Linked DNA regions of Neurospora crassa OR74A. The protein of the gene in region 1 purifies or fractionates together with the protein of each later gene. This does not show direct contact. Links are inferred from orthologs where the notes say so. Each region holds a gene or a part of one and is shown in the gene's direction. Other genes may lie near its edges.

What was found.
Region 2: the proteins of NCU00396 (region 1) and NCU00348 purify together in Saccharomyces cerevisiae (affinity purification with mass spectrometry; 5 studies listed by BioGRID). This does not show direct contact. The link is inferred for Neurospora crassa OR74A from reciprocal best matches to the Saccharomyces cerevisiae genes RSE1 and RDS3.

Annotation. Positions count from the first base shown.
Region 1 is NC_026503.1:3,707,079-3,711,331, forward strand, and holds the start of NCU00396 (pre-mRNA-splicing factor rse-1), read left to right. Parts: upstream 1-1,419; 5' UTR 1,420-1,701; coding exon 1,702-1,945; intron 1,946-2,008; exon of another isoform or gene 2,009-2,135; coding exon 2,136-4,212; intron 4,213-4,253. Other genes in the region: NCU00395 (mRNA processing protein), read right to left, coding at 1-1,064. UniProt on the Saccharomyces cerevisiae protein: Involved in G2/M transition. Required for pre-mRNA splicing and endoplasmic reticulum (ER) to Golgi secretion pathway. U2 snRNPs associated protein required for the pre-spliceosome assembly.
Region 2 is NC_026503.1:3,536,886-3,540,110, reverse strand, and holds NCU00348 (pre-mRNA splicing factor), read left to right. Parts: upstream 1-1,581; 5' UTR 1,582-1,837; coding exon 1,838-1,854; intron 1,855-1,963; coding exon 1,964-2,237; intron 2,238-2,351; coding exon 2,352-2,387; 3' UTR 2,388-2,695; downstream 2,696-3,225. Other genes in the region: NCU00349 (hypothetical protein), read right to left, coding at 1-247, 310-378, 442-1,089; pex26 (peroxin-26 Pex26-Penicillium chrysogenum), read right to left, coding at 2,932-3,225. UniProt on the Saccharomyces cerevisiae protein: Required for pre-mRNA splicing. Involved in regulation of drug sensitivity and may play a role in multidrug resistance.

The DNA of each region.
Region 1 (4,253 bases):
ATCAGATGGAGTCTCGACAGGGGGAAGAGATGGGCCAACTGCACCCAAGCATCTCTAGGCAGCGACGACTCAGCGCGAGCACCGAGAATAAAGACACGCACGGGGGGCGCCTCAGGCCGAAGACCCTTGATAGACTCGTTGCCTCCAGTTTTGGGAGGATGCAGGGTATAGCGAAGTGCCGTCAAACTCTTTAAGCCCTCGACCGTGAGGCGATTCCGGATGTGGTACGGGCTCAACTCGTGAAGAACGCTGCCGATCGTGAGAGGATAGGTCAACAACCTAGTCGCCTGTCTCATGCACCGGTCATCGTTGACAGCTTCGAACTGACGGGTATACATGAACGTGTCCCAGTTGGTCATGTTGACCATGGCATCATCCATTTGCGGACCGGCGTAGTTGAACTCGTAGAAGTGGCGGCCTGAATGGAGGTCATGGTCATCTTCATTGATCTGCCGCAGAGTGTCGCATATCTCGAGATGTTTCTCATAGTCGTCCATCCAATGCTGCTCGCTGCAATATACCGGGATGCCACAGTCAGGGCACTCGAAATCGACGTGCTTCGGCGGCTGGGAGCCAGACTCGGTATCGACTTGGCGGTTGGTCTCGGAGAACTGCCCTGGGCGGTGGCTATGGTGGGGGCAGCTGGCGTGCTGTCTTATGAAGGCCGCGCGCTGGCGGATCTTGGGGATGGGCGAGTTGGTGAAGGAGTGGAAGAGGTTGTCCTGCTCGAGAATCGGCTTCGAGGGGATACCACTACCGGCCAGATCCTCGTTGGTGGCAAACGATGTCGAGCTGCTGGCCTTGGTTCTGGACTGGGCAGCAACGGAAGGAAGCTTGCTTGTGATCGAAGCCTGGATCGGACGCGAAATGGTTCTGGTGATGCCGCCGACTTGCGTCGAAGACGAGGAAGAGCTCTGTGCCCCTCGGATGGAGCTGACGGAGCGTTGCTGGGCTGACTGCAAAAACGCAGCACTTTGCCTGCTCTGTCTAGCTGTGAAAGTCGAGCATTGCGAGCAAAGCTTGGACAAGGCCGGACGCACGGCGCGGTCTGCTGGGAGGGCCATTGGGAGTTCAAGAGGTCGGATGATGTTCGATCGGGAATCTGGATCGCCGGGACTCGATGCGACTTTCCAATTGACTTTTTGGCAGCAGCTCCCAGCAATCCGGGGTCCTCTCCCACCGACCCGACTCGCTACCTACCTCTACTGTGCCTAAGTGCCTAGGCGGGTCCCGTCCATCGAATGACCCACTTTGTTCTTGCTTCACCAGCCACAATTGTGCCTAGGTAAGCTCCGTCTGACGTTACGTATGCGGGTCAGAGAGCTACGAGCAAGCCACAGTCGCGAGGCGGGAAGATGAGTGGGCGGCGTCTACGACCTACCGTGGACCGAGTCCGACGTACCGCTGCAACCTGAGTGACTGGACTGCACCAATTGGCCAGAAATACCATCGACGGCAACCGACTCCATCTACCTCGCCAGAGTGCCAGAACACTGGACCGTGTTTCATTTTTTTTTGCCGTGTTACAATCATCTACTCGATATTCAACTCTAGATTTTCGACAATCTGGCTGACTTTCGCGCATTGGTCTTCTCAACATAACGACGGCAGCATTGACAGAGCACAACCGAGTCCTACCCACTTGCAAAAACAACCTCGAGAAAGCAGAGCCGCGCCGGCTGTCTGCGCCCAGTTGCAGCCATGGCGACTACGTCGAACATGTTCCTGTATTCCTTGACCATCCAGCCACCCACCGCTGTCACGCAGGCTCTGCTTGGTCAGTTCTCGGGAACCAAGGAACAGCAGATTCTTACGGCGTCTGGATCGCGTCTAACCCTCCTTCAGCCTGATCCCCGTCAGGGCAAGGTCAACACCCTGTTGTCTCATGACATCTTCGGCATCGTACGCGCCATCGCGTCGTTCCGTCTGGCCGGCAGCCACAAGGGTGAGTAACCTCCCCGCCACCTCCTGTGTTGGGCAATATAGTGATTCTGGATCCGTTCCCCAGGTGCTTCTGGGTAGAGGGGCCACACGTATGGTCACGCACCATGCACCCAGGCCTACGAGTCTTCTGGGGACTTGAGAGACTCATTCAAATCGGTAGCGGGATTGTGCTAAAACCCTGTGCCACCCAGACTACATTATCCTCGCCACTGATTCGGGCCGCATTACGATTATCGAGTATCTCCCCAAGACGAACAAGTTTCAGCGCATCCACCTCGAGACTTTCGGCAAATCGGGCGTCCGCCGAGTCATCCCCGGCCAGTACTTAGCCGCAGATCCAAAGGGAAGAGCATGCCTCATTTCGGCACTCGAAAAGAACAAGCTGGTCTATGTTCTCAACCGAAACTCACAGGCCGAGCTTACCATCTCGTCACCACTGGAAGCCCACAAGCCAGGCGTGTTGGTGCTGTCTCTTGTTGCCCTTGACGTTGGTTACGCAAACCCCGTTTTCGCTGCGTTGGAACTGGACTACACGGACGCGGACCAAGATCCTACGGGCCAAGCACGAGAAGAAGTCGAGACACAGCTGGTATATTACGAGCTTGATCTGGGCCTGAACCACGTTGTACGCAAGTGGTCAGATACTGTCGATCGCACTTCTTCACTTCTCTTCCAAGTACCCGGCGGCAATGACGGTCCCAGCGGTGTCTTGGTGTGCGGCGAGGAAAATGTCACCTATCGGCACTCGAATCAAGAGGCTTTCCGCGTCCCCATCCCTAGACGCAGCGGTGCCACCGAAGATCCTCAGAGGAAGCGGGTTATCGTCTCTGGCGTTATGCACAAGCTCAAGGGAAGCGCGGGCGCCTTTTTCTTCCTTCTTCAGACGGACGATGGAGATCTCTTCAAAGTCACCATTGACATGATCGAAGATAGTGACGGCAACCCCACCGGAGAGGTCAAGCGCCTCAAGATCAAGTACTTCGACACGATACCAGTAGCCACTAGTCTTTGCATCCTGAAGAGCGGCTTCCTGTTCGCCGCTAGCGAGTTTGGAAACCATCACTTTTACCAATTTGAAAAGCTCGGAGACGATGACGAGGAGCTCGAGTTCAGCAGCGACGACTTCCCGACAGACCCTACCGCCTCATATAACCCGGTGTACTTCCACCCCAGGCCACTTGAAAATCTGGTCCTGGTTGAGAGCATTGATTCGATGAACCCTCAGGTCGACTGCAAGGTTGCGAATCTGACGGGAGAGGACGCGCCCCAGATCTACTCTGTCTGTGGAAATGGGGCGCGGAGTACTTTCCGCATGTTGAAGCACGGACTCGAAGTGTCTGAAATTGTCGCTTCGGAGCTTCCGGGTACACCTTCTGCTGTATGGACGACTAAGTTGACCAAGTACGATCAGTACGATGCTTATATTGTGCTGTCATTCACAAATGGAACATTGGTTCTCAGCATTGGTGAGACGGTAGAAGAGGTCAGCGATAGTGGTTTCTTGACTACGGCGCCCACCCTAGCTGTGCAGCAAATGGGTGAGGATGGCTTGATACAAGTTCACCCCAAGGGCATTCGCCACATCGTCCAAGGTCGTGTCAATGAATGGCCTGCACCTCAGCATCGCTCGATTGTTGCTGCCACGGCAAATGAGAATCAGGTTGTCATCGCCTTGAGCTCTGGCGAAATCGTCTACTTCGAAATGGACTCGGATGGTTCGCTCGCCGAGTATGACGAAAAGAAGGAGATGTCGGGTACCGTCACATCGCTGAGCGTCGGTCAAGTACCGGAGGGCCTGAAGCGAAGCTCTTTCCTAGCTGTAGGATGCGATGATTGCACAGTTCGCATTCTTAGCTTGGACCCTGATTCAACACTCGAGATGAAGTCCATCCAAGCTTTAACAGCCGCGCCCTCGGCTTTATCAATCATGTCGATGGAGGACTCGTTTGGTGGATCCACGCTCTATCTCCACATCGGATTGCATTCGGGCGTTTACCTCCGGACTGTGCTGGATGAAGTGACGGGCGAACTGACAGACACTCGTCAAAAATTCTTGGGTCCCAAGCCTACCAGACTTTTCCAAGTATCAGTTCAGGATCAGCCATGTGTTCTTGCGCTGAGCTCGAGGCCATGGTTAGGCTACACCGACCCACTTACTAAGGGCTTCATGATGACGCCCCTAAGTTACACCGAGCTTGAGTATGGTTGGAACTTCAGTAGCGAACAGTGCTTGGAAGGCATGGTTGGTATTCATGCCAACTACCTAAGGTCAGTTTATTCCAAATTGTTTGGCGTCCAGTTATGTGATG
Region 2 (3,225 bases), about 170 kb from region 1:
AAGTCTTGTTAGGCTGCTCACCAACTTGATCTTGTTCATTCCGGACAACGTCAACATGGGTTGATGGTGGTGATGGTGGCGGTGGCGGGATCTCAGACTTTGGCTGGACCTTGACTTCATTCTTTGGCGGCCGTCCATGTTTGATTTCGAACTGGCGCACCTCCCTGGTGATGGTCTCCTCGGCTTCGCGGACTTGTTCATCGAGGATACGCTCTTGTTCTTTGGTGAGCTCCCAGGGTTTGTAGTACTAGTAGTATCATTAGCCCTCGATTCAAGTCGTGTTCGTTGTCCCAGGGGTCAAGTTCTTACAACTACCGGCTCGCTGACAGTTCGCAGACTATGAGCCAAGATAAGCATCTTTTCATGCCGCCGGTGCATCTAAAAGTTAAAGGGGTCTGTTAGTAAGCATGTTCAACAGTCCGTTGTCAAAGGACAACCTACCATCCGCTCTTCGAAGTCCACCTGCTTGGCATCCCGGAAGCGTCTGCGTTCAGCGAGCAGGTCGGTTCTGCGCCTATCATCCTCGACTCTCTGCTGCTGCACTCGTTCCTGCTGGCGGCGTTCAATCTCCTTTCTCCTCTTTTGCTGCGAGTTGTTGGGTGTAGTCTGACTTAGAGTGTTGAGGAGACCACCAAACAAGCGCCTGCCGCGTTTCTTCTCCTCCAGGCTAACATTCTTCCGCGTTTGTTCGGGGCTAAGTGGTGCCTTTCGAGACGGCGGTGCGGCCTGCTCCCTTTGCTCGTCGGACTCTCTCCTACTAGTAGTGACTGGGCTTTGAACTGTGGTTTCTTGGGCGCGTGCCACAGCTTCGTTCTCCATTGGATGATCATTGTCCTTGGTAGTTGACGTGGCGTGGATCTCCCTCGCTGTGGCGACCGGCTCCCGCATCGAGTCCTTTACAGGTTCCTCTGTCCTGCCGGTTTTTGGCGTCGCTTCCCCTTCAACAATCTCACTGATCCTGCCCTGGACGTTCCCGTCCTCCAGTTTGGTGCGCTTAGCAGCCACGCCATCCTCTGGCGATGGTGAGGAAGTGGCCTTTCGTTTCTGGGTAGACAAGTCCTCTGTTTCCATCATCGGTTCCGAAGACATGAGTAGGAAATCGACAGCAGCTTGGCGTTGAAGCTGAAGCAAAGGTGTTGGAGTTGTAAGGTCTTGTAGCTCGGAAGTGATTGGCAGAAAACGTGATCGGCGTAACAAAAAGGTTTTGTTGTGCGTTGCAGTTAAAGGTCGAATGTACTTCTCCCATATATGTCGAATGGCCGGTTTGATCTCCCAACACGCCCGGTTCGTTGTTGGAAACTGGTGTTGGTGGATTGATGGAAGCCAAATTGTTAGTGACCGGCTGTGTCCAGAACTTCTCCAGTGGGAGAATCACAGTGAGCAGCTTCCCCGAAAGTGGATTATTCAGGGTAGTCCGCTGTTCGAGGCCGCTCGAATCCCCCTGTTCGGGGAAGCAGCTGGGAAGCTAACCCCACTTTCCTGCACCAGTCGCATGTCTTGGCATTTGAAGATCCGCTCTTCCACGAGGCTGACAGAAGAAAACGCGGAAAACGCTAGAAGAGGACGCCACATCGCTACCCACTTGCCGCCGAGGCTGACGAAATTCGATTCCACATCGGCATCGCCAGTGATCGCATCTTTCGCCTTGCATCACGTTCCCTATCGTCCTCGGCTACAACCACAAGTGCCATTTCGAGACCAGATTCACCGTACAGCGCATTCTCTGAGCGATCAATTTATACTACGCGACAGCACCACGCGTGCCCATCTCACCCGAATTTCAATCCTTCTGCCTACCATCACCGTCGCGAAAACACATCATAATCTCTAGCCCACCATGTCTCGCCATCATCCGTACGTCTCTTTTATGCTCGCTTCCCTCCTTGCCCAACCCAGCCCTGCTTGACCCTTTCTTGATAAACCTTCCCGACTATGTACATACTAACATTCCCGTTCCCCACAGTGATCTAGTAATGTGCCGCAAACAATCCGGCATCGCCATCGGCCGTCTCTGCGACAAGTGCGATGGCAAGTGCCCCGTGTGCGACTCGTACGTGCGGCCGACGACACTGGTGCGCATCTGCGACGAGTGCTCGTTCGGCAACTACCAGAACAAGTGCGTGGTGTGCGGCGGCGAGGGCATCTCGGACGCGTTCTACTGCTTCGAGTGCACCAGACTCGAAAAGGACAGGGATGGGTGTCCCAAAATTATAAACCTGGGTAGTTCCAGGACGGATGTAAGTTCTCTTCTTCTTTTTCCCCCCCCCTTCCCGCTTGCCGTGGGATAAAGTGCTTGGAGATGGCGTGCTCGTAAAGATTAGAGGCTAACGAAGTACGTTTTCACACAATAGCTATTTTACCAAAAGAAAACAAATCGAACATTTTAACAATAGAGATGCCCGGGCATGGGCTTGTGTGGGAAGATTGTTTGGGGTGGTTAGTTTCCTGATATGAGATGGGCTCCTGGCTGTGACGGATGGAAACCATGTTGGAAGGGGCATATAACTTCGAGAAAAGAAATTTGTCACAAGCTCAAGCTGCATTTGACTTGGCATCAAGGGCGTTAGGGAGTTCTGTTCACATACATAGCATAAGAGGGCAGGAGTTGAGAAAGACAAAGCTGAAAAGCAAGCACGTACTCTTAATTAGGCGTTGACTAACATGGCCTTGGTTACTCTTTAGAGATTTTGCCATCACATGTCAGGTTGCAGTGATTGTGTCATCTCTTTTGACTATGAACTGAAAACGAAACAAGCTATTTTCCGTGATGCATGACCCATTAACGATAGACTCGAAACAAAACTGTCGCATGCCAAAACCTGCTGCGACAACAGCCGCAATGCTAATTATCATCAGAGCAGGAATATTCCCTCCCTTACTCCCAATGTCCAAAATAATACTGGTACCCAAGCAGCAAAAAAGGGGCTCGGATCAAATGTAACTAACTTTCATCCCCATTCCAGCCGTAGCCTTCACTTTCCCCCACCCTTGCTGCACCACTCTTGTGATTCTCTCCCTCACGCTCTTTTTGCTGAACATCAGCAGGAACCCGATAATGAACGCCAGCGTCCGGTACAGCAGGAACGGGTTCCCATGGAATGCCGTCATAACCTGATCCAACACCGACCGGATATTGTTCAGTATCAAAGCCGCCTTCGTGCCCATTCCAGGGCCGGTCACGGCACTCGAAGAAGAACCCGTCGTCTTGGTCGCGGTCGGTGACGA